3 linked regions of the Diceros bicornis minor genome follow. The protein of the gene in region 1 binds, or shares a complex with, the protein of each later gene. Links are inferred from orthologs where the notes say so. Each region holds a gene or a part of one and is shown in the gene's direction. Other genes may lie near its edges. The genes, in order: RHO, GNAT1 and GNAT3.

Region 1 (6,910 bases):
GCAGTCTGTCATTAAGGAGACAAATAAGACCACTGCAGATAGTGATAAATACAGAGTAGAAAATGAACACTGTGGGTGGGGGCCCTGGTGTGTAGAGGCGGGGATGGGGGGCTCTCCAAGGACATGAGTTATTTGCTGAGCCCTGAACAAGATGCAGAAGAGGGTAACACTTTTAGCCGCACTCACTGGTCACCTTCTAGGAACAGAGCAGGAAACAGGCACGAGGAAGGGAGGGGCCAGGTTGCACCAGGCTGTGTGGCCGCAGAGCCTCAGTCGGGATGTAAGGGTAGCTATGAAGGGGCCGTGCCCAATGAGGGAGGACCAGAAACCTAAATTGTAAGGTCCGAAGTTCCGTGAGCTGGGCCCTGGTGGGGATAGCAGGTCAGGTTTACCCTGTAGATGGGTGTGGATCCCCAAAGTTTCCTAGTCCCAACAAACTGAGACCCGGAGAGGGGACGAGGGGCTTCCTGGGCTCTCAGGGTGACTCAGAGCCACAGGCTAGAGCCTGTGCTGCCCCCTGCCCTCAGGGCCACTGCTGCTGCCCCAGGCCTGTGTGACTCAGTCGAGGGCCCTTTCCACCCTTTCCACCACCCCAGCACAACCCTTTTTTCGTCATTTATACCATGGTGTGAATGACCTGCAGATTATTCCTGAGAGCCGTCTATGGTGTGGGAGGGAGGCGTCACCAGGCAGGTTATAGCCTGGCCGTCACTTGTTTGTCACATGAACTGGGCAACTCACTACAGACTCTGGGCCTCAATGTCCCCACTTGCAAAATGCAGTGGGGAGGGTCAGAGTAGGTGACTTCTAATGACCTTCCAGCTCACTCCGTGAGCCTGTTGCTCTGAACAAAGAGCACTTTTTGTTCTAAAAGCAAATGGTTTGTCATGCCTTACAGAATACAAAGCACCGTCACCTCGGTGATGGTCTTTAACTCCCCATCACCTCGCCCTGTGAGGGTGAGATTATTGAACTCTCTTACAGAGGAGGAACCTGAGACGTAGAGAAGGGAAGTACTTCCTGAGATAACCTAGACCCAGTAACTCGGGCTGCAAATATTCATTGAGTGCCTCCTAAGCGCTAGGCACTGGGCTGCGTCAGTGAACAAACCGACAGAAATGCCAGCGCTTCCTACGACAGGGAAAAAACTTACAGTGTTCCTGCCACATCCTGCACATGCCAGAGCACGTGCTGGGCTCTGGGGACCCTGTGTGAACGAGACAGAGCCAGCCCACCCTTGTGGGCTCCCGTCACAGCCTGGAGATGGACAAAAACCACATGAACAGAACATGAATACAAGCTTCCAGGCTGTCATAAGCATTAGGAGGTGACAAGCAAGGTGCTGAGGACGAGGGCTCAGCCTGGCCAGGGCGGGGCTGTGCGTGGGCCAGTCTTGACTCAGGGAATCCAGTGCTCCCCTGTCCATCTGGCTACCAGGGGCCGTGGCAGAATCAAAGCCTCCACCTTGACCTCATTAGTGTTGGGCCTAATCACGAGGCTAAGCGCCTTAAACTGCGAGAGGTCACACCCCACCAGCCCTGCCAGGCCACGCTCTGTGCTCATTCCATCAACACACATTTCATCCACCCTCCGTGCGCCAAACCTTGACACCACCCAGGACAGAGGGGTGTGGAGCCCCAGGTGGGCTGGAGGGAAGGAGGGCACCTTTTTTTTTTTTTTTTTTTTATAATTTTATTTATTTATTTTTTCCCCCAAAGCCCCAGTAGATAGTTGTATGTCATAGCTGCACATCCTTCTAGTTGCTGTATGTGGGACGCGGCCTCAGCATGGCCGGAGAAGTGGTGCGTTGGTGCGCGACCGGGATGTGAACCCGGGCCGCCAGCAGCGGAGCGCACGCACTTAACCGCTAAGCCACGGGGCTGGCCCAGAAGGGCACCTTTCTGAAGCAGATAGATCTAGGAACCTGAGGAGAAGAGAGACTGGGTGAAAGAGAGCTTAAAGGATGGAAGTCTCGGAGACAGGGACACCTCCCTGTCCAGCCTTGTATTCCCAGCCTCAGGGCCTTTGCACTTGCTGTTCTCTCTGCTTGGATATCTCCAGCCCCTAGATCCTGGCAGGGCTGGCTCCTTCTATCATTGAGTTCTCGGCTCAAACTTCACCTTCTCAGAGAGGCCTTCCCTGGCTGCTCTAGATAACAGTGTCTTGGGAGTGGGTCATGATCTGAACTTTTCCTATCGTTACTTGTTTCATTACTTGTTTGTGGGGCTCTCGCCCCCACAGAATGACACGTCCTGCCAGCAGGGCTTGGTCATTCTTGTCCACTGTGTGCCCCAGAACCAAGCACCTTGTGTGGAACCTGCTTGATACACATTTGTGGCTGGACGGTGGTCATCAAGCGCCTGCATGCCGGGTGCTTCCAGCCACCCCTGCATCCCTGGGCGGTGTCATCATGCTACAGATGGGGGAGCCAGTCAGTGTCGAGCCTCCATTTGCCCCCAGAGCTCGTCCCACTGTCCTGGGACCCACCCTCATGGGGTTACCTGTCACACAGCATCCAAGGCCCTGTGTTCCAGCCCAGCCTGACCAGGTGTCCCCAGATGTGCCCCAAGTGCAGCAGCGTCCAACCAGTCCTGTTTCCAGGGTCCACCTCCCCTCACGCTGAGTCCCCAGGAGGCTGGCTCACTGCAGTGAGCCAGTGCCCAGCACCGGTGTGGCACACAGTACGCCTCTGGCTGCAGAGCCTTGCTTCGGAGCCCTGAGAGCCTCGTCTTCTCCCTGCTTTAGTCACTCCTCCCGGGGCCTCTCCTCCATCCTCACTCCCATCCATCTTCGGGGGCATTTGAGCCACCATTCTGTCCCCGAGATCTGCCCAAGGCATTGCCCACTGCCCTCTGGATGAAGCCAGGTTTCTCAGCTTGGCAGCAAGACCCATCAGAGCTGACCACAGCCCATGTGTGGCCATACCACAGATGGGTCTCAGGCCTGTGCCCAGCCTCTGTCTTCAGTCTGCACTGTCTTCCCTACTTGGCAACCTGGCAAAGTGCTCCCCTCCCTCAAAGACCCAGACGTCGCCTCCCCTGATGCCTCTCCCAGGCAGGCAGCCTCCCCTCCCAGGGCTGGGATCTGTTCTTCCCACATGGCAGTCCTCCTCAGCCTAAGATCCTCCTTTCTTGATCTTTGTATCCCCAGGGGCCTGCACATAAATGTTTGATGAACTAGTGACTTCCTATTCAACGCAGTAAATGCTAATTGAGCTCCTGGGCTATGCCAAGCTGTATGCCTGGCACAGGGAATGCCGTAGCTGGCAGGATGCGGCCCCTGCCCTTATGTGAAGCTCATAATCTGGTGAGAGGGCTAGTGTCAGTGTTCAGTGCCTGGATGATCCAGGAGGAGACTTAGGTGGGGAAGGAATAGGTAAGGGGGTGAGTGAGGGGAGGAGAGACTGAGAGAATAATCAAGGCCTCTGCCCTCCGGGAGCTCCTGGTCCAGTCGGGAGGAAGAAATCAGCTCGCGCTCAGCCAGAGGGAATTGGGCCTGGAGTCGGAGGTTGTGATGCCAGGCTAAGGCCCCCAGGCTGAGTTGGGCAGAGATTCCAGGAGGACAAAAGAGTTGGGGGCCAGCCTCCTGCCCTTTCCCAGGGTCCCCAACGCCTCCCCTCCATGACCCTAGGCTTCTACCTTGTGTGGAACCTGCTCGCTACACATTTGTGGCTGGACGGTGGTCATCAAGCGCCTGCATGCCGGGCGCTCCCAGCAGCCCCTGCGTCCCTGGGCGGTGTCATCACACTCCTGCTACAGATGGGGTAGCTCCAACTTCACCTTCTCAGGCTTGAAGTCTAGAGTCACCTTGGCCCCTCTTGGAGGCCAATTAGGCCCCCAGTTGCAGCAGTGTGGATTAATATGATTAATAACGCCCCCAATCTCCCAGGTGCTGATTCAGCCAGGAGCTTAGGGAGGGGAGGTCACTTTATAAGGGCCTGGGGGGGAGGGTCAGAGCCCAGAGTTGTCCAGCCGGAGCCCTGGGTGGCCGAGCTCAGGCCTCAGCAGCATTCTTGGGTCGGAGCCGCCCACGGGGCAGCCACAAGGGCCGCAGCCATGAACGGGACGGAGGGCCCGAACTTCTACGTGCCCTTCTCCAACAAGACGGGCGTGGTGCGCAGCCCCTTCGAGTACCCGCAGTACTACCTGGCCGAGCCGTGGCAGTTCTCCATGCTGGCCGCCTACATGTTTCTGCTGATCGTGCTTGGCTTCCCCATCAACTTCCTCACGCTCTACGTCACGGTCCAGCACAAAAAGCTGCGCACGCCTCTCAACTACATCCTGCTCAACCTGGCTGTGGCCGACCTCTTCATGGTCTTTGGCGGCTTCACCACCACCCTCTATACCTCTCTGCATGGATACTTCGTCTTCGGGCCCACGGGATGCAATCTGGAGGGCTTCTTTGCCACCCTGGGCGGTATGAGCCGGGATGTGGGTGGGCAGGGGCACAGGAGCCAGAGGGCGTGGAGGGTTCTGGAGATGTGGCTGAGAGGCATTCTCCCCTCTGCAGTCGTCAGCAGCATCCAAAGCCCTCACTTCCTCAATCAGTGAACACCCTGCCGTTTGTTCAGGGCGGGCATTGAACACTATCTCACTCTGAGTGGTGCCCTTGTCTTGTTTTACGGCAGGGAAGCAGGTTGAGAGAAGTCAAGGACCTTGCTGGGGTCACACTGTGGTGAGGGGCAGAGCTGAGTTTCCAGCCCACATCTCTGTGGCCCCTCAGGCGGTGTTCTGTTTCCCTGGGAGCAGCTGTGCTAGATCGGACCCCCGCCAGGCACCGGGGAGAAAGCTGGATGAGACAGAACCCTGTGCCCAGGCTCCCAGCCGGGGTGGGACGCAGACTCTCAGTCCTCCGGTCACTGGACTTTGCCCGGGCTGTCAGTTGATGGCTCAGTCCCTCCCGCCAGGATCTGTCTGACTCCCTTCCCAGCCCACCTCCAGCTTCTATGCCATGCTTGAATGCTTTTTGTGTTGAGGAGCTCATCCCCTTCGAAGAAACCCCTTCCAAGGGAGGCATTAGATCTGTGTGGTGATCCGTAGCTTTGAAAGATGCTTTCAAATATTTTCTTTGACTGGAAAATGAATGGGGGTGCTGCAGAGATAATAGATCCCATTTAGCAGATGAGACAACTGGGGCATGGAGGAGGGAAAAGACTCATCTAGGGGTGTGGCAGGGCAGGGAGCAGAGCCTAGATGTCCTGGCTCAGGAGACACCCAGGAATGTCCTGCTGGACACGTAGCCTCTCAGGCAAGCAGGAGACGCAAGATGTCGTTATTACAAAGCTGGGGAGACTGGGAGAGCCCAGCAGCGGCCACGAGGACTGCTCTGCCTCCTCGTCTTCTCTCTCCCCTCGTGTCCAGGACGCTTCCTCTGCCCCATTCCCAGGGAATCTTTGGCCATCACTGGTGTCTGTCACCTTCAATGACCACAGGTCCCCCGGTCTCAGGCCCGAGGGCAGGCGTTAGGCAGGAGTACCACATACAGGCAGAACCTTCTCTGCAGTGGCAGTCCCAGTGTACAGCTTTAATCCTGGAAAATTCTTGTAGTGTTCCCGTTCCCTCTCAGAAATGTCCCAGTTTGGTTGATAAAGTCTATGGCCACCCTCCCCCTTGAGTTTCTGGGGTGATATGCAGGGCAAATGTCTGAATTCCATTACTATTTCCTCCTTCTTCCTCTGAGCAAAACATTGTCCAGCTTCCTGGATCTAGGAGAGGGTCCACGTGCCCAGGTTGTCTCATTACCCTAGAGGGCAGAGGCCGCCGCTGGAGAGGGAGGGAGAACTTCTGACTTCGGGTTTCTGCTGCCTCTGCCCTGCCTTCAGCGAGAACTCTGCCCGACACCCCGTGGAGGATACAGGCCTCTGTACAAATGCCCTATGGGGCTCCCAGTGCGACCACGTCCCTGTCGTCTGACCTCCGTGTCCCTCGTGACCCAGAGCTCTAACTGAACGAAACTTCCTGGGAGTTACTCTGCTCATCCCCCTCGGCATGCTGGCCCCTCTGCCCCGCACTCCCGTCCCTCCTCTTCTCGGCATCCAAGCCCCCTCCATCCCAAGTCCTCGCTCCAGGCCTGCCCCAGGTTGCCTTCTCCGCCACCCTCCCCCATCTAGGAGGAGCGTTCCCTCCTTAGATGACAGTGGGGTCCAGGCAGGAGGCATATTGACCGGCAGCTGATTGCCTTGCAGGTGAAATTGCCCTGTGGTCCTTGGTGGTCCTGGCCATCGAGCGGTATGTGGTGGTGTGTAAGCCCATGAGCAACTTCCGCTTCGGGGAGAACCATGCCATCATGGGCGTCGCCTTCACCTGGGTCATGGCACTGGCGTGCGCAGCGCCCCCCCTCGTTGGCTGGTCCAGGTAATGGCACTGAGCAGAAGAGAAGGGTCCCCGGGGGTCTTCGTAGGGTCTCCCAGCCAGGACTCAAACTCAGAGCTGTCTGGTTCCAGGCACTGAGCTCACATGCCCCCTGCCCCAAATGCCCACCTGGCAACTCTCCCAGGGGAGGAGTTCAGGGCAGGGGAATAGAGGATCAGACCCTAATGTTGCCAACAGGGCTGGTCCCACCTCCTGAGTCCCCACGCCAGAAGAATCGAAGATGCCCCAACCCTTCACCTTGGCCTTGCCCCTAATCCTCAACTAAGCCAGGGCCAGATTCCAATCCTCTTTGGTCCAGTGCCCCATAGGCAGCTCCCTCTGACCTTGGGCCTCTAGGAGGCCGAGCCTTCCTAGAACAGGTGGTAACATTGTAGCCCCTGGGAACTGGGTCCTGTCCAGCCTCCAGGCCATTGTCTCCAAATGAGTCTGAGATGACAGATGGGAGGACAGGGCCCGGCCTGGTGGCATAGTGGCTAAGTTCACGCACTCCGCTTTGGCAGTCCAGGGTTTGCAGGTTCAGATCCCAGGCGTGGACCTAT
Region 2 (8,085 bases), about 37 Mb from region 1:
AGACATCCTACCCTGGAGTCTTGGGGGTACAGGAACCTGGGGGCAAGCTCCCTTGGGAATACTCCTTCAGGAGCTTTCCTTATCCAGGCGGAGCCGCCGTCAGGACGTCCGGCATGGGAACCCCATCAGGCAGTGCCGTGGGTTCAACTCCAACGGTGAGTGTGCTGTGCCTCAGTGCAGAGCCCCGGGTGGCCCACCAAGCTGCTCCCAGGGCCCCCACTGGAAGGATTCTCCCATGGTCTGCGGGGATGAGGAGGCTTAATGTTTTGCAGTGGGATGTCCCTAGCTACCCCCTCAAGAAGTGGATGCCCGATGGCTCGGCCCTGCCTATATGAGTGGGTGTCCTGTATGTGCCCCTCAGCGCCTGCCCCTTGTCAGGCTGCAGTCTGCCCAGAGGCAATGCTGCTTTTCTTGTTCTACAGCCAACAGGAATGCCATGGAGTCTGTGCAGTACGGCGTGGCGGGCAGCGCGGCCTTCCTTGAGTGCCAGCCCCGCTCGCCCCAGGCCGCTGTTAAGTGGCTGTTCCAGCGAGAGCCCAGTGACCGGCGCCGTGAGGTGATTTCCTGTGCCCCACAGTCCTCACCGTGGATGCAGGAGTCCCTTGTACAGTAGAAATTCCACATGGGTGAAATGTGGTATAGAGGCCAGTCTAGGGCAGCCCTTATTCTAAGAAAGCCCTTCCAAGCTCCCGTCCCTACATGGAAATCATTTGAGTGAATCTAGTTATATGGAAACGCTGTAGTTTCCATGTTATATGGAAACCATTTATGGGCATGCCTCTTTGCATGAAAATTCCATATGTGTACTCCATTGGAAGTACACCTCATTGTATGGAAACGTCGTGGGTGAGTTCCAGTATATGGACATTCTGTGGGGTAGCCCTCATTTTATGGAAATGCTTTCCAGGCATTCCTCTTTACGTGAAACTTTGTGAGGGTTCCCCAATTGAGTATTCTCATAAAATAGAAATTTCTGTGTGTATGCTCCAAAATTCTCTCATTGTACAGAATCCCCTTATGGTCACCCCTTCCGAAATGGAAATGTGTATGGATGCCTTATTCAGATATTATGTGGAAACTTCATGTAGGTTTTTCTTGGTATATGGAAATTCCACATGGGTGCCCCTATGTGGATTGGCCACAAAGTGGTCTGATCTGGGAGCTGGCTGGGGCAGCAGGATGGTAACACAGCCCCTGAGCCCCCACCCCCTGCCCCTGCAGATCCGTGCAGAGGACCGCTTCCTGCGCACAGAGCAGGGCTTGCTGCTTCGTGCCCTGCAGCTTGGGGACCGCGGACTCTACTCCTGCACAGCTACTGAGAACAACTTCAAGCACGTCGTCACACGGGTGCAGCTACATGTACTTGGCCGGGATGCTGTCCATGCTGCCCTCTTCCCACCGCCAGCCACGAGCGCCCTACCGCCTGAGGGCGCTGGTGTCCCCACGCCCCCTTACCAGGAGCTGGCCCAGCTGCTGGCCCAGCCAGAAGTGGGCCTCATCCACCAGTACTGCCAGGGCTACTGGCGCCATGTGCCCCCCAGCCCCAGGGATGCCCCAGGGGCACCCAGGCCCCCTGAACCGCAAGACCAGAAAAAGCCCCGGAACCGCCGCCACCACCCGCCGGACACATGAGGCCAGCTGTCTGAGCCCTGCCATGGGCCAGCCTAGCCCTTGTCCCTTTTAATATAAAAGATACATATATATATATATATATATATATATATATATATATATATATATAAAATATATATATATTCTATACACACCTTTCCCCTGCAAAGACAGTATTTATTGGTGGGTCGTATATAGCCTGCTTCAGTGGCAGCATCGTCCAGAACTTAAACCCATGCTGGTCAGAGACCACAGAAAACAGAGCCCAACTAACCAGGCCCCACCAGTTGGCAGGGCCAGGCCAGGACCAGACAGTCCCCAGACTCAGCTAGGAGTCTACCTGCTCGACAGCCACTGCTGGGATCTACAGGACATGGAGGGAGCAAGCTCTACCTGGACAGGGCATGAACTGTACACCTTTGTCAATGTGTGCTGTCAACCTGTGGCACTGGCATGGATGTGGATGCAAGGACTGCTTTGGAGACTGGGAGTGGGGTGGGGCTCAGATGCACTCAGAGAAGGGAAGAAGGGGTCGTCACAGGATGCTCACCCCTGCCTGGGACCAGGGCACTCAGTCAAGGCCAGCCCCTTCCTGGGTATTTATTCTCTATTTATTGGGGACAGAAGAGCCCTGCTTGGGTGGTGCAGCAACTCCAGCCCCTCCTTCCTCCCTGCCTGGCCACTCTACCTCCTCTTTGCTTTTTCTGGGCCACTGTGACTTGGGGGCTGGGAGAATAGCAGAGAGGCCAGGTGCAGGCAGGGCTGGGGGGGAGGGGCATAGTGGAGGCTTGGGGCCTGCAGGGGCTCCCTAGGGCTCCCTTCTGCCCACTACTTCAGATGATAGGTGTAAATAGCTTTGGGGGGCAGTTGGGTAGGTGAGTGGGGGCTCCTGGTGGCCCACTGCTCTCTAGGCCACAGCCGCCCTTGGGTTCCATCTTGCTAATAAACAATGGCTCTTGGACTGGGCTTTGGCTTTTCTCCTTGGCAGAGGAGGGAGGATGGGGGTTCAGCCCACACCCAGATTTTGTCCCTCCTGCCCCCCCCACCATGTGGGCCACATGGCCCACCAATTCCCACACTCTGTTTTGCAAGCCCAGCTTCCATTTGCTCATTCAATTGTTTGATCATTTAGTCAATGTTGCTTTCTCACCTGGCTTTCTGTCTGGCTTTGTGCTGGACACTAAGGACTCAGAACTGGTAAGACAAAGCCATAGCCCTCACAGTCCAGCTGCCTCTGCCCTGAGAGTCGACAAAATCCTCGTTCTTCCTGCCTACTTCCAGCCAGCTCTTAGCAGAATGCCCAGCATGAGCAAATGTCCAGAGGTGGGGAAGACCAGGAGGAGAGGTGGGGAGCTGCAGGAGAGAAGGAAGTGGGGCTGTGGGCCCTGAACCAAATTCACAAGTCAAGCCCTGGCAGGGGGAGCTAAGAGCTGGGGAGGTTATGGATCCATCAGGGCTTAGGGCCATATCTGGCAGGTAAGGGGAGCCAGGTGGAGACTGGGGGGCAGTGGATTAGCCCCACTACTTTAAATCAACCCAATATATAGAAACCAGGTTTTCAGTGGCTTAGCAAACCTGGGCTCCTGTATCACCCCAAAACCCTGGGGAATGTAGAAGGGGCTGCAGAGACCCCCAGAGCCCACTTACAATGTGGGAGGTGGAGGATGGATGGAACCTGAAGGCTGAAAGTGGCACAAATGATCTGTTGCTACTGGAGAGATCCCCTCTCACCCAACAGGGTAGATGATGAAGCCACCAACCCATAGCAGGAGCCAGTATCCACTTCCCACATGTTTAGGGACAGTCTTCAATTCTCAGTATCTGGGGCCCTGGCACCCCCTCATGGTCTCTCGTGTCTGCAACAGAGTCGAGTACTAAAAGGCAGCCAGGTTTCCAGGAGGGAGTCCAGCCAGGAGGCCGTGAGAGCCCAGGATTTGGGTCTTCTGATGGGAGGTGGGAAATCTCCAGAGCCTGTGAACTCAACACTACGGCTCAATGGAACCACTTCCACCCAGGAGCCCGCCCTGTCCCATCCGAGCCCACACACAGACCCCTGATACTGAAGCAGGCATGCACTAGAGATACCTCTAGGCAGGTCCCAAGCACCCATGAGGGACAGAACAGGAGCAGAGCAGATGAGCTCCACTACTCTGCCCCTGAGAGCACCAGACCTGCTCTGGGACTGTTTCCCTATCTGACAACAGGCCTGCAAAAAATTCTCTGGAGGAGCCTGGCCACTTCTGCAGGTCAGAGACTTTGTTGCACTCGAGTACACATGTACACACAGGCACATGCAAGTATGCACACATACAGGTATACACATGCATAAATGTACACGCACACAGGAACAAACAGGCCAGTGCGTACTAACATGCATTGCACATGAACATGCACATATGTGTTCATGCACACACGTTAATCCACACAAGAACGGCAATATATGCATACAAGCACTGTGCACATGAAGAGAAATACACAAAAGCACACCCGCACGTGTGCATACACATGCACTCACAAAAGAACAAACACACAGGCACATGTTGTACACACAAGTATACAGTGACAAACGTGTCATGTCATTGCCTTGCTTGGTGCCAGGAAAGGATAGACACACACACCCAGGCACACAGCAGACATGCACGCCCACCCAAGTCCGTTGGAATCATGGAGGCATGTAGAGGCCCTGCCCAGGTCAGATCCGCCCTTGGTACGGGACAAATGCAGGGTCCACCTTTCCCTCTTGACTCCCTGCAGAGCTCTGGTCCAGAGTCACCCAGCCCTTCTCAACCAGCCCCTGGTGTATGACTCTCTGAGCCTCCACTTCCTTAACAGTAAAATGGAGCTGATGGTGGGGCACCCACCCCCCAGGGCCAGTGTGCGCTTACAACAAGATAAGCAGCGCTGAGCCCAGTGCTGGGCAGGGGCCAGGTGCTCTGTGCATGCTTCTCCCTCTACTCCCCGCTGCCAGCCCCACCCCTATTGCTCCCACTCCTGGGGCTTGAGGCCCTATCCTCCCCTTTCAGAGTTTGGATCCTACTGAACATGTCTCCCTGCTCTGGGGCAGGGGCTGGACTGTCTCCAGGGTCTTTCCTGGAGTGTTAGTGGGAGAGGGTAGAGGAGAGTGCCGAGTCAGCAGTTGAGGGATTGGGGCCATGCCAGCCCGATTAGAAGGGCAGGGGGCTGAGCTGGATTCACCTGTCCTTGTCTCTGATTGGCTCTTGGGTACCCCCAGCTCCCAAATCCTACTAAGCAGCCCCACCAGGGCCTGCACAGGTCTGTGGAGAGCCAGTTGATTGCCAGTCCTGGGGCCAGAAGGGTGTCTGTGGAGGCCAGAGGCTGGCCTGAGCCTGGCTCTGGGGATCTCCTCCATCCAGAAGAGCCAACTGACCACCCTGTTCTTTTACCTGCTGCCGGGACCATGGGGGCTGGGGCCAGCGCAGAGGAGAAGCACTCAAGGGAGCTGGAAAAGAAGCTGAAAGAAGATGCTGAGAAGGATGCTCGAACCGTGAAACTGCTGCTTCTGGGTAGGGGTGTGGGCCCAAGTGGGGCTATTGCCACCAGGTCAGAGGCCCGGGGGCAGGCACGTGGCCCTTCTGTGAAGCAGGGCTCATTCTGGGAAGCAGAATGAGCCTGTGACAAGGCAGGGAAGAGAGTGGGAGCCCTGGCCAAGCAAGGGCAATAGGCGATATCCTGGTTCCCCAAGGCTGGGTATCCCACAGAACCCCTCTCTAGAGGGCCCTCCCTCAGATAGCCTCCCCTCGGGAGGAGTGTGTGCCAACCACATTTTTGTACCAGTGTGTGTATGAGGCACACTTGTGCCCTGGCTGAGCTCCCTCAGGCTTCAGCCTTCTGCTTGATGGGCCTGCTGGGCAGGGCTCAGAAACAAGGGATCTCCTTGGTAGCCCCGTAGTAGGGCTGCTCCTCTTGGGAAGGACAAGGTCACAGTCCTCCTGGGATTGGGTAGCCTCTAGGACTGCCCAGATCCACAGACAATGACCCTCAGTTTCCAGAGCTTTACTGTTGGCAGACCTGCAAAGCAGCTAAACAGGGTGGAGGGGTACTAATGCCCAGCGGGGAATAGATAAAGCCATGTCCCTGGTCCCACAGGTAGTGAGGGGAGATGGGGCTGACCCAGTGCCTTGAAGCCACTGCCTTCCCCCAAGGAGAAGAAGGAGCTGCTTTGAGAGGGCAGTGCAGGCTCCCTCCAGGCTCTCCAGTGTCCAGTCAGGCAGCTGGATGTGGGCAGAGGGACCAAGCCAGAGTATCCCAGGGAGGACACAGAGGCTAAGCCAGAAATCCCATTAACTGTGCCCAACGCCCTCGCGAGAGCAGGCTCAGAGAGGCTGTCAGTTCTGTCCTCTCCCCCACCCAAAGGCGCAATTCCCTTTGAGCCTCTTGGAGACACTCCCCTCCCACCTCAGGAAAAGCAGGAGTTGACCCGGCTCAAATAATCTCGTGCGTGCGGTACCAGAACTCTTCACAAGGTGGCGCTCCAGGTTTTCTTTATTTTGGTCTCAGAAAAATAAAGATTGCGTATACCAGGATCTTGGAAGCTCCCCAGCACTATTGAGGTCGCTGATGCCCCTCGTCAGCCCCCTTCTGTCCCTCCTGATATTTACAAACGTTTTTCCGCCAGGGCGTCAGGACCCGGGTAGGGGGAAAACAGGCCGGACTGGGGGCTTGGGCTAATGCCCTGGGTCCGCCTAGCCATCTTCTGGGCTTCGCTGCGGGGAGGGGGAGGGGGGGTGCGGGGAGTGGGGGAAGGCGAGATGGGAGGGAGGTACGGTCGGCGGGGCTCTGAGGCGGGGGCTTCCCTTCCAGGTGCAGGTGAGTCCGGGAAGAGCACTATTGTCAAGCAGATGAAGTGAGTGCCCCTGCCCATCCCAAGGACCCCGGGGGTGGGCCCGCGCACGGGGCCTGTCCTTCCCCACCTGCCCACGAGGCGCTGACCCGGTTCGCCCCGCCCGCAGGATCATCCACCAGGATGGGTACTCTCTGGAAGAGTGCCTCGAGTTCATTGCCATCATCTACGGCAACACGCTGCAGTCCATCCTGGCCATCGTGCGTGCCATGACCACGCTCAACATCCAGTACGGAGACTCTGCGCGCCAGGTGTGCCAGGAGGCGGGCTGAACAGGGCCTTTGGGGACTGGAGGCCCAGGGTTGGGCCCACGGGCAACACCAACCACTCACGCCCTGCCCCCAGGACGATGCCCGGAAGCTGATGCACATGGCAGACACCATCGAGGAGGGCACGATGCCCAAGGAGATGTCAGACATCATCCAGCGGCTGTGGAAGGACTCGGGTATCCAGGCCTGTTTCGAACGCGCCTCGGAGTACCAGCTCAACGACTCCGCCGGCTAGTGAGTGCGCAAGCGGGGCGAGGGGGCGCGGGCAGGGCCCTGCCACACCCCTCCACCCAACCCCACCCACTCCCCGGGGTCTCCCGCAGCTACCTCTCGGACCTGGAGCGCCTGGTAACCCCGGGCTATGTGCCCACTGAGCAGGACGTGCTGCGCTCGCGTGTCAAGACCACGGGCATCATTGAGACGCAGTTCTCCTTCAAAGACCTCAACTTCCGGTACGACCCATGCCCTCGCTCTCACTCCGGGGGCTTGCTGGCGAGTTCACCGCCCCGAGGCCCGGTCCCGTCCCGGACGCCCCATCCGGGCCGTACAAGATACTCTGCCCCTTCTCGGATACCCTGCCTCCAGAAAGGCCCAGCCCTCCAGATGCCAGTCCCCTCTGAGTGCCCCCCAGCCTGCATTAGGAGGCGAGGGGATGCCTATAGGTGCGTCCAGGGGGCTCGATACGTGGGTTCAGGCGCCAATGGCCCTGCAGGATGTTCGATGTGGGCGGGCAGCGCTCGGAGCGCAAGAAGTGGATCCACTGCTTCGAGGGTGTGACCTGCATCATCTTCATCGCGGCGCTGAGCGCCTACGACATGGTGCTAGTGGAGGATGACGAAGTGGTGAGTGCCAAGCAGAGCCTGAGTGTTGAGGGGGGAGGCGGAGCTGCTGGCCGAGGGCAAGCGGGAGACAGTGCTGCGCGTGCGGGAGCGTCTGAGAGGGGACATTCGTTCCAGAGCTGTGTGAAGGAGGAGAGAAGGCAGCCAGCAGCTCCGCTGAGGGGGGTCGTGGGGGACTTGGAGCTATCGGAGCGGAGAGGCCCCGGGTGTCCCAGAGCCCAGAGAGGAGCGGTTGGCTCGTCAGCAGCGGCCGCATGGGGACGGCTGCCCTTGTCCCCCCGTGCCCGACAGCCTCTGCCCTCCTCAGAACCGCATGCACGAGAGCCTGCACCTGTTCAACAGCATCTGCAACCACCGCTACTTCGCCACCACGTCCATCGTGCTCTTCCTCAACAAGAAGGACGTTTTCTCCGAGAAGATAAAAAAGGCGCACCTCAGCATCTGCTTCCCGGACTACAACGGTGAGACTCCCGGCCCAGCCGCCAGGCGGCGTCCCAACCCCACG
Region 3 (7,119 bases), on another chromosome or scaffold:
CAACAAGAAAAATATAATAATGAAAGTTGGGTTTGAGGAAATTTAACCTGGCTCCGTCAGACGAGTTAGAGTGGAATAGGGCAGAGGCCAGAATCAGGAGACCTAAGGAGGAGGTGGTTGCAATAATCAGGACTGAAGTGACTGAGGAATAAAGTTAAGGGAGTAAGTAGTGGAAATGTTGTGTTAATGAGACATATAAAAAATATTCTAAAGAAGATGGGATTTGGGGCAGGGAGAAGCCTTTTGGGAAATAATTATGACTCATCTTCTTTGTCATTTAGGCATGTAACATTTTTTATTTCCAATAACCATTATATATAATCATATCCTAATCCATAAAAATGTATGTAGAATAAGTAAAGGCAGAAATCAACTCCAATGAATAAAAATGCCTATTTGTATTACCTCTTAAGACATAATCGCTGTTTAATGCTGGCATTGTACACTTATTGCACCATCCGACTGTACTAACTTGAAACAGCAATGTCTGCCGTATTCCCTCAAGATCAGAAGACCGGTCTCAGAAGTCACCAAAGACATGAATCTCTGAGGGAAACACCACCCGCAGAGCTCCCACAAGCGCATATTTGAGTACCATTAGGAAAGGAGGGATGATTTGCCTCAAACTTCATGGGAATATGCAAGGATAAAAGTTATTGCCAAGGCAGCCAGGACTCAAACCACCCAGGGACCCAATGCTTGAAGTCAACACCTCCTATAAGATACGGGGGGGAAGAAAAAAAAGACTAACACAATTAACAGCCTGTGTTGACAACTTCAAGAAGGAGCTGAACCACTGAAGCCACTTATTGAAGTCAGCCACATGTCACATTCTCACGGGAAATCCAGCTTGACGACTGCAAAAGCCCAGGTAATACTGGCAAAAGAGACATCTCCAAAACACGGGTTGAAATCTCAATATTAACAGCAGATGGGAAATAATCCTATGTCATCTCAAGCTAGATGTTGAATTATAAATGTAAAATGTGGTTCCTCAAACTTTTTAAAGGCTAATGTCCTCTTCTGAAGATTCCACAGAGACCCTGACCAAAAGTAGCAAAAGGAAAAATTATTCACATCATGCCATCTTGTGGCATTTCAGTGACCTTTACAGCTGAGGGCTCACTCTCTGTGTTTTAACTCAAGTCAATTTTCCTTCTGGTGCTGAAAGAAGATGTTCCCAATCAGGCTGATGCTGTGACAGAAAAAGAAACAGGCAACAAGGTTCTTAGAAGTTGTTCTAAGTGATTATTCTAAAAGACCAATTACTCCAACACACTGTCTCTTGCGTTGTGTGTGTGTGTGCAGAGCAATCTATCTCTCTTAGCTGGCCAACTATAGAACTCTAACACTGACAGTGCCTTGGATAGCTTTATGTTTCTTGTTTTCAAGAACACACAAAATTTATGGCCACATTTTTCCCTGAATTAAAAGCACCTAATTTAGTTACCTTTCCTGTTGTCATCTTCTATCAATTTTCCCTCACTATGGAGCAAGGTTTAGCAATAGAAAGGGAGTGTGCTGTGTTATTTTTAAGACTGAGGAAAAAAAAGCATAAATGTGGGCTAACAGTTGTAATTGTATATATTGACACTATTTCAGACTAAAATTGGGCTTTTTCATTGAATTTCTGAGTCACTCTAAAATTTCTAGGGTGGTGAGATAGACCCGCTATGACACTGAACCTTAGAAACAAACCTTAACTATCATGTCACCTCAGCAGAGCACAAGGAAGAAAAAGACTCCAGGTGTCTACCAATTTATTAGCAAGAAATAATTTTTGAACATTTCCTATGGCCAGCACTGAGACAAATATGTGGAAGACATCCAAGCGAATAAGACATTGCCCCCATTCTAGTGAAATTTATTATTTCATTTTCATCATTTTCTCAGGTCCAGAAAGCTATAATCCTAAGTGAAGCAACATGGACTAATAGCTGTATTAACAACCACAGCTCATTAGTGACGCTGTATCCCAGGCACCCAGGGGAGAGGGCAGAGAAGGGAGCCTTTCCCTTCTCTCTGGCTCTCCCCAGCCTGCCTCCCTACATATAGACACACCTTGAATTTTATGTCAAGATGATTTTAGTCACTGATGAAAAAATCACATAATAGTCTAATAAAGTTGATGACTGAATGTTCTGGGTTACACAGAAAAGCGGAAGTTCGTAATTTTATGCAGTGCAGAAAATGTACACTTCTACTCCTGAAAGAGTTGGTCAGTTTTAGTCAGTAATCCACTTAGGAAGTCTTGGAAAACACACGCTCTTTCAAATCCAAGGTATGCCCCTGCCAGAAAGATATGGGTATATTTACTTAAATGCAAATTATACGAAGTATCTTGTCAGTTCATAATTGCTTTGGGACGTACAAGAATCTTGTATATTCAGGGTACTATCTATGTATATTCAATTTTGATATAAAAACCATAGGCAAAAAGAGATTTATTTTAATGTTTGTGTTCTTTTGCGTTGTTATCAGAGCAGACTCTGTGTTTTGGGATGAGTAAAAATAAATTAGACAGCACAAATCATGTTCCTTTGGGACAGGGCCTTTGCATTGCAAAAGCAATACCACATGATTTGCATGAAGCCTTGCATATCTACTTTTCCACATCTTTATACTATCATAATATGGCTTTGGAGGGATGAAATCCAGAAAGTTTTGACTATGCTTACATATCTACAGCCTCATATTTTATGTGAAAAAGTAAACAAAGCAGGAATATGTATTTAATTTGGCAGCCTATTTCCTTGTTGTATGAATATGCAAAAACCCACCTGTTCAGACTTTGCACATGATCCCACAAGAAGATCAGCACTGACGTGTTGAAGGACTGACTGCATTCTAGCATTTCCTGGATAGGCACATTCACAAATCCCAAAATGCACATTGAAAGATTTGCCTGCTGCCACAGGTAGCCAACTCTGTTTATAAGGAAAATATTCATTGACTACCTAAAAAGTGTTTTATGCTTCCTGTAAACAAAATCTTGTACTTCATAATCTCTGTCCGCAAGCTTGTAGATCTTCAAGAAGTACATGATATTTATTGAGGCAGTTGAAAGGCATGAAACATAGTTAGTTCTTACTTTTCAGGAAGCACCAAATTACCTACCATTTCAAAGAACATTGCTTTTTATTCTCTTGGTACCAAATCAATAAAAGTCCTTCCAGCACAGCAGCTGTTGCTTAATGGCCCCAAAGAGTTAACGCACTGTCTAAAGTGAACACAGCTCAGTGTCTACACCAAGTGGGCCCTCAATTAATGTTGATGGACTAACATTCTCACAAGCAGTAAAAGCTTAATTTATAGAGATGGATTTTATGAGACTAAAATCAATAATTTAAGAGCCTTGTGTGTTGAATCCTATGTTTGTGGCGATACCACATGTATATATGTAAGAACTACATTTATGTGTTTCCATTTTTTAAAAAAGATGTTTTCTAGTTAACTGACAGGAGATTCTTGACAATTTTGAGTCATAATCTAAGCATAGCATGACTATAAATTTATAGTCATTGTAGATGACTATAAACGATTCATTGTAGATATTCTGATAGTGACATTAGAGTGATTATGAAGAATTTGCAAACTCACATATCTGAAGATGCAAGCTTGTTGATTAGTAATAACTTTAAATCACAGTAACAGAGCTTGTCTACTAGTGAGAAACATTCCATTTGAACTGCTCATTGCAGAGTATCTTTAATGTGTAGATTGTGATGACGTTCTACCTTATTGTATGCTATTCTTTAAGGAAAATGAGCAAATTTTTGAAGATGTGCCAGAAGTGGCCATCTAATTTGAAAGCATAATGAATTCCCTCTTTAGCTTCCAACCATACAACCATAGGGTTATATGGTTTACCCTTTGATCAGGTGACAGCTTAGAAAGCATCTCCTTAGTCAAAGCAGAATCTTAGAGAGGGAGGGAGCAGGCTGTTGGGTACTTCAGCAGAGCACTGTTCTTGCATCCTACGTCCAAACCAGAGCCGTGCTCTATGTTTGACAAAGTTTGAGCAGATAAACTGACGAGTATCTAACACAAGATGGGAAGCGGAATTAGTTCAGAGAGCAAGGAGTCAGCCAAGAGATCAAAAGAACTGGAGAAAAAGCTTCAGGAAGATGCTGAGCGAGATGCAAGAACTGTCAAGTTGCTGTTATTAGGTAATATTTTTTTCCCTTTACTTTCAAAACCCTGTTGTTTTTGTCAATTGTGATGTATTTACTTTTCTCAAACTTTAATTTCAAGTGTATTACCATATGAGAGATTTATTATAAAAATGTGTTTGGAAATTTAAATAGACTTTTTGTGTGCTCTATAAATATTTACTGATTTTTTTTGTTTAGTGTTTTATTACATGTTCTTTTGTTAAGCAGAGAGACAGATATTTATTAGATGATACAATTTCTCTGTCAATAATACAAGTTACTATTATTAAAAGAAAAGTCAGATACATTTATTATTTTATTGCACCTTAATCATTTCCTGAATGTAGCTTTTTAATACTGAAAACAATCCGTTAATTTCAAGTTATAAAGATTTATGTTATTTTGTTCAAACAGAAATATGTCAAGCTGTTTGATATCAAAGTTAATATGTTACTTAATTACTTGCGCTGTTAAAATTAATGGGTCTCAAGTTATTTAGAGAGTAATGATACGATACTTTAACTTTTATATTAACAATATTATTCAGGCTTCTGAAATACTATTCTGCCTGTGATCTTGTCTGCATACTTGAAAAATACTCCATTTAAATCCTTTTAGGATATTTATATATTCATTCAGGTCAAGAATTATGTCTCTTTTATCTTTTCATTCCCTCAAAACTCAGCACAATGTTTTACCACAACTATAAATTCAATAAATGTTCAATGAATTGAAAGATAGAAAATAATCTGTATATCACACATTTTCCTAAACATAAAAAATTTAACATGTAGTGGTCACTGGAAGATAAATATAGTTTTGAAATAAGAATAAAAACCTATGAAAAGAATATAAAACAAAAACTTTAATCATAGCTGTGTGTTCCTCCTGCTCTTAATTATACACAAAAGGACTTCATTTTATTTCAGAATTGTGAATCTTGCACTCAACAAAATGTCTTCACTTTTTTAAGTGCCCCTTTGTTGTGTCTAATTTGCTCCCAGTGGCAAGAGTGTCTCAGAAACCAGCTGTGGGATTCCCAGCACCTGATCGTCAAAGGAAAGGAAATGTTCTCTCCCTTTGTGCACGAGCTCTGTGGCTGCACACTTGCCCACAGCACTGGCAAGTAACCACCTAGATAGAGGTCGGTAACTTACAAAGCAGCCAGCTCTTATGAAACCAGTAAATACACTTTCCCTAACACTCCAGAGTATTCTTTGAGGCTTTGATCAAGAGTGAAATTAATGTGAACATAGAAAATGCAAATAAAAGGTGAGAGGGACAGCCGAGCATTCCTACAAATGCATTCTGTGTCCCTCTTTGTATAGGAATAGTGATAAAATACATAAAAATCCTCATGTTTCAATAAAATTTCAAAAGAATAGAGATATTTTCAACATACCAACTATTTTTAGATTAAAGTGGGTTTGATCAAGAAGAAAGGGTAGCTTTTCGAACCAGAGATACAAAAGACTCATTAGTGGTGTTATAACATCTTTTACTTTCCCAAGACAATCACAATTACATAAATTCAGTTCCAAAGTTACCATACCGTATGCTTGGATGTATTTGGTTCCAACAATATGTGCACTGAACTTCTCAGTCACATCTTATTTATACAAAATAAATCAAATTCTCTTATGATTTTCCTATTTCAATTGTGTTCCAAACACTGGACTAAGTTTTCCCTCCTGGACTCTATTTGAGTTCTTTGTATGATGATTCAGTTGTCAAGTTTAAAACAACAAAGTCTTGTAACAACTCTGCTTTGATTCTTATTTTTGAATTGAACTCAAATTTCTAAACTGTAATTTTTATATTCAAATTGGCCTCATTAAGACATAAAAGCGTTCAGTGGAACTAAACTAAACCTTCCCACCCTCCCACCCTCAAATCCCCTCACTAATGAAATCTTTTTAATTTCTCCCATCATTGAAACAGTGATTTTCATTCCTCAGTGTAGTCTGAACAAGAGTTTTTAACTTATCAATGAGCGTATGTCATGTAATGATCAGATCCTGAGTCTAACTCTATTTTTATAAAAATTAGAAAGCAACAAACATTTTTGGCAGAATTCATTCTTTATGCTGATCCTCTTATTATCTGATGAATTTCCAGGTGCTTATACACATAGCACAACTTTCCAAATTTAACATGTACTGTAAGTAGGTGTACCATTTTGTGTCATTGGACACAAGATTTCACTGACTCTGAAGAGCTATCAAAGTGTGACTTTGCAAAGCAAAGATCACCTTGCAGACATATTCCTTCTTTACTATGCCTTTCAGACATTCAGTAAAATTACAGAAGAGATGCCCTATCTTTTTCTTTAGCAAAAAGCAGGCTTCTAGGAAACACTGGAGATGACTCATGTGCTCCTGGCACATTTGATAACAGCTATCAAGACAGTAATGTCACGTGCTTTAAAAAAAATAGCTCATAAAGATGTCCCGGAAAGAGTACATTTTAACAAGAAAAACAAATTCTAATGGATAAGATGTTCTCTTTTGCAGAATTCTTGTTAGTTTTTTTAGTTCTTAAATTATTAATGTTTGATTAAACTTTAATTCTACTCAAAAGAAATACCTGCCATTTAATTATGGAATCACTATGGATCATGTCTCCATTTTTCCTGTCTCGTCTTTTTATATTTGTTATTTCAAATTTCAGTTTGAATTTATTTATTTTACCACATTACTTTCTTTTGTACTTTTACAAATTTCCACCACATAAGCTGGTTTGCGATTCAAAGCTTGATAGGAAGTATAGGGAAAAGCTAAGCTTTGTGTTTTCTTCATATTTGAAACTCTGCCACTCACTCCACGTTCTTAGTGATGGTATTGTAACCAGCTTTGGCTGGTGATTTCCAGCGCTGTCATGGATGGTTAGTCATTGGTGTTCTCTTCCTTTAGTTCTAAAATTTTTTGTTCTTTATTTTTCTGTGTGCTATATTGTAACATCACAC

What was found.
Region 2: the proteins of RHO (region 1) and GNAT1 are in contact, whole or in part, in a cryo-EM structure (PDB 6OYA), measured with the Bos taurus proteins. The link is inferred for Diceros bicornis minor from reciprocal best matches to the Homo sapiens genes RHO and GNAT1. Residues at the interface, in NP_001014890.1 of Bos taurus: Leu72, Arg135, Val138, Val139, Lys141, Ser144, Asn145, Phe146, Arg147, Val230, Ala233, Gln236, Gln237, Ser240, Thr242, Thr243, Lys245, Ala246, Glu249, Val250, Met253, Met257, Asn310, Lys311, Gln312; in NP_851365.1 of Bos taurus: Ala27, Arg28, Asp189, Leu190, Val312, Glu314, Tyr316, Asp333, Ala334, Asp337, Ile340, Lys341, Asn343, Leu344, Lys345, Asp346, Cys347, Gly348, Leu349, Phe350.
Region 3: the proteins of RHO (region 1) and GNAT3 are in contact, whole or in part, in a crystal structure (PDB 4A4M), measured with the Bos taurus proteins. The link is inferred for Diceros bicornis minor from reciprocal best matches to the Homo sapiens genes RHO and GNAT3. Residues at the interface, in NP_001014890.1 of Bos taurus: Leu72, Arg135, Val138, Val139, Lys141, Thr229, Val230, Ala233, Thr242, Thr243, Lys245, Ala246, Glu249, Val250, Asn310, Lys311, Gln312; in NP_001103452.1 of Bos taurus: Ile344, Asn347, Leu348, Lys349, Asp350, Cys351, Gly352, Leu353, Phe354.

What each region holds. Positions count from the first base shown.
Region 1 is NC_080741.1:87,791,600-87,798,509, reverse strand, and holds the start of RHO (rhodopsin), read left to right. Parts: upstream 1-3,860; coding exon 3,861-4,416; intron 4,417-6,184; coding exon 6,185-6,353; intron 6,354-6,910. UniProt on the Homo sapiens protein: Photoreceptor required for image-forming vision at low light intensity. Required for photoreceptor cell viability after birth.
Region 2 is NC_080741.1:51,241,093-51,249,177, forward strand, and holds the start of GNAT1 (guanine nucleotide-binding protein G(t) subunit alpha-1), read left to right. Parts: upstream 1-4,987; 5' UTR 4,988-5,029; coding exon 5,030-5,135; intron 5,136-6,432; coding exon 6,433-6,475; intron 6,476-6,581; coding exon 6,582-6,723; intron 6,724-6,817; coding exon 6,818-6,975; intron 6,976-7,064; coding exon 7,065-7,193; intron 7,194-7,453; coding exon 7,454-7,583; intron 7,584-7,887; coding exon 7,888-8,041; intron 8,042-8,085. Other genes in the region: SEMA3F (semaphorin-3F), read left to right, coding at 88-155, 423-556, 1,222-1,632. UniProt on the Homo sapiens protein: Functions as a signal transducer for the rod photoreceptor RHO. Required for normal RHO-mediated light perception by the retina.
Region 3 is NC_080742.1:18,075,361-18,082,479, reverse strand, and holds the start of GNAT3 (guanine nucleotide-binding protein G(t) subunit alpha-3), read left to right. Parts: upstream 1-4,051; coding exon 4,052-4,169; intron 4,170-7,119. UniProt on the Homo sapiens protein: Guanine nucleotide-binding protein (G protein) alpha subunit playing a prominent role in bitter and sweet taste transduction as well as in umami (monosodium glutamate, monopotassium glutamate, and inosine monophosphate) taste transduction.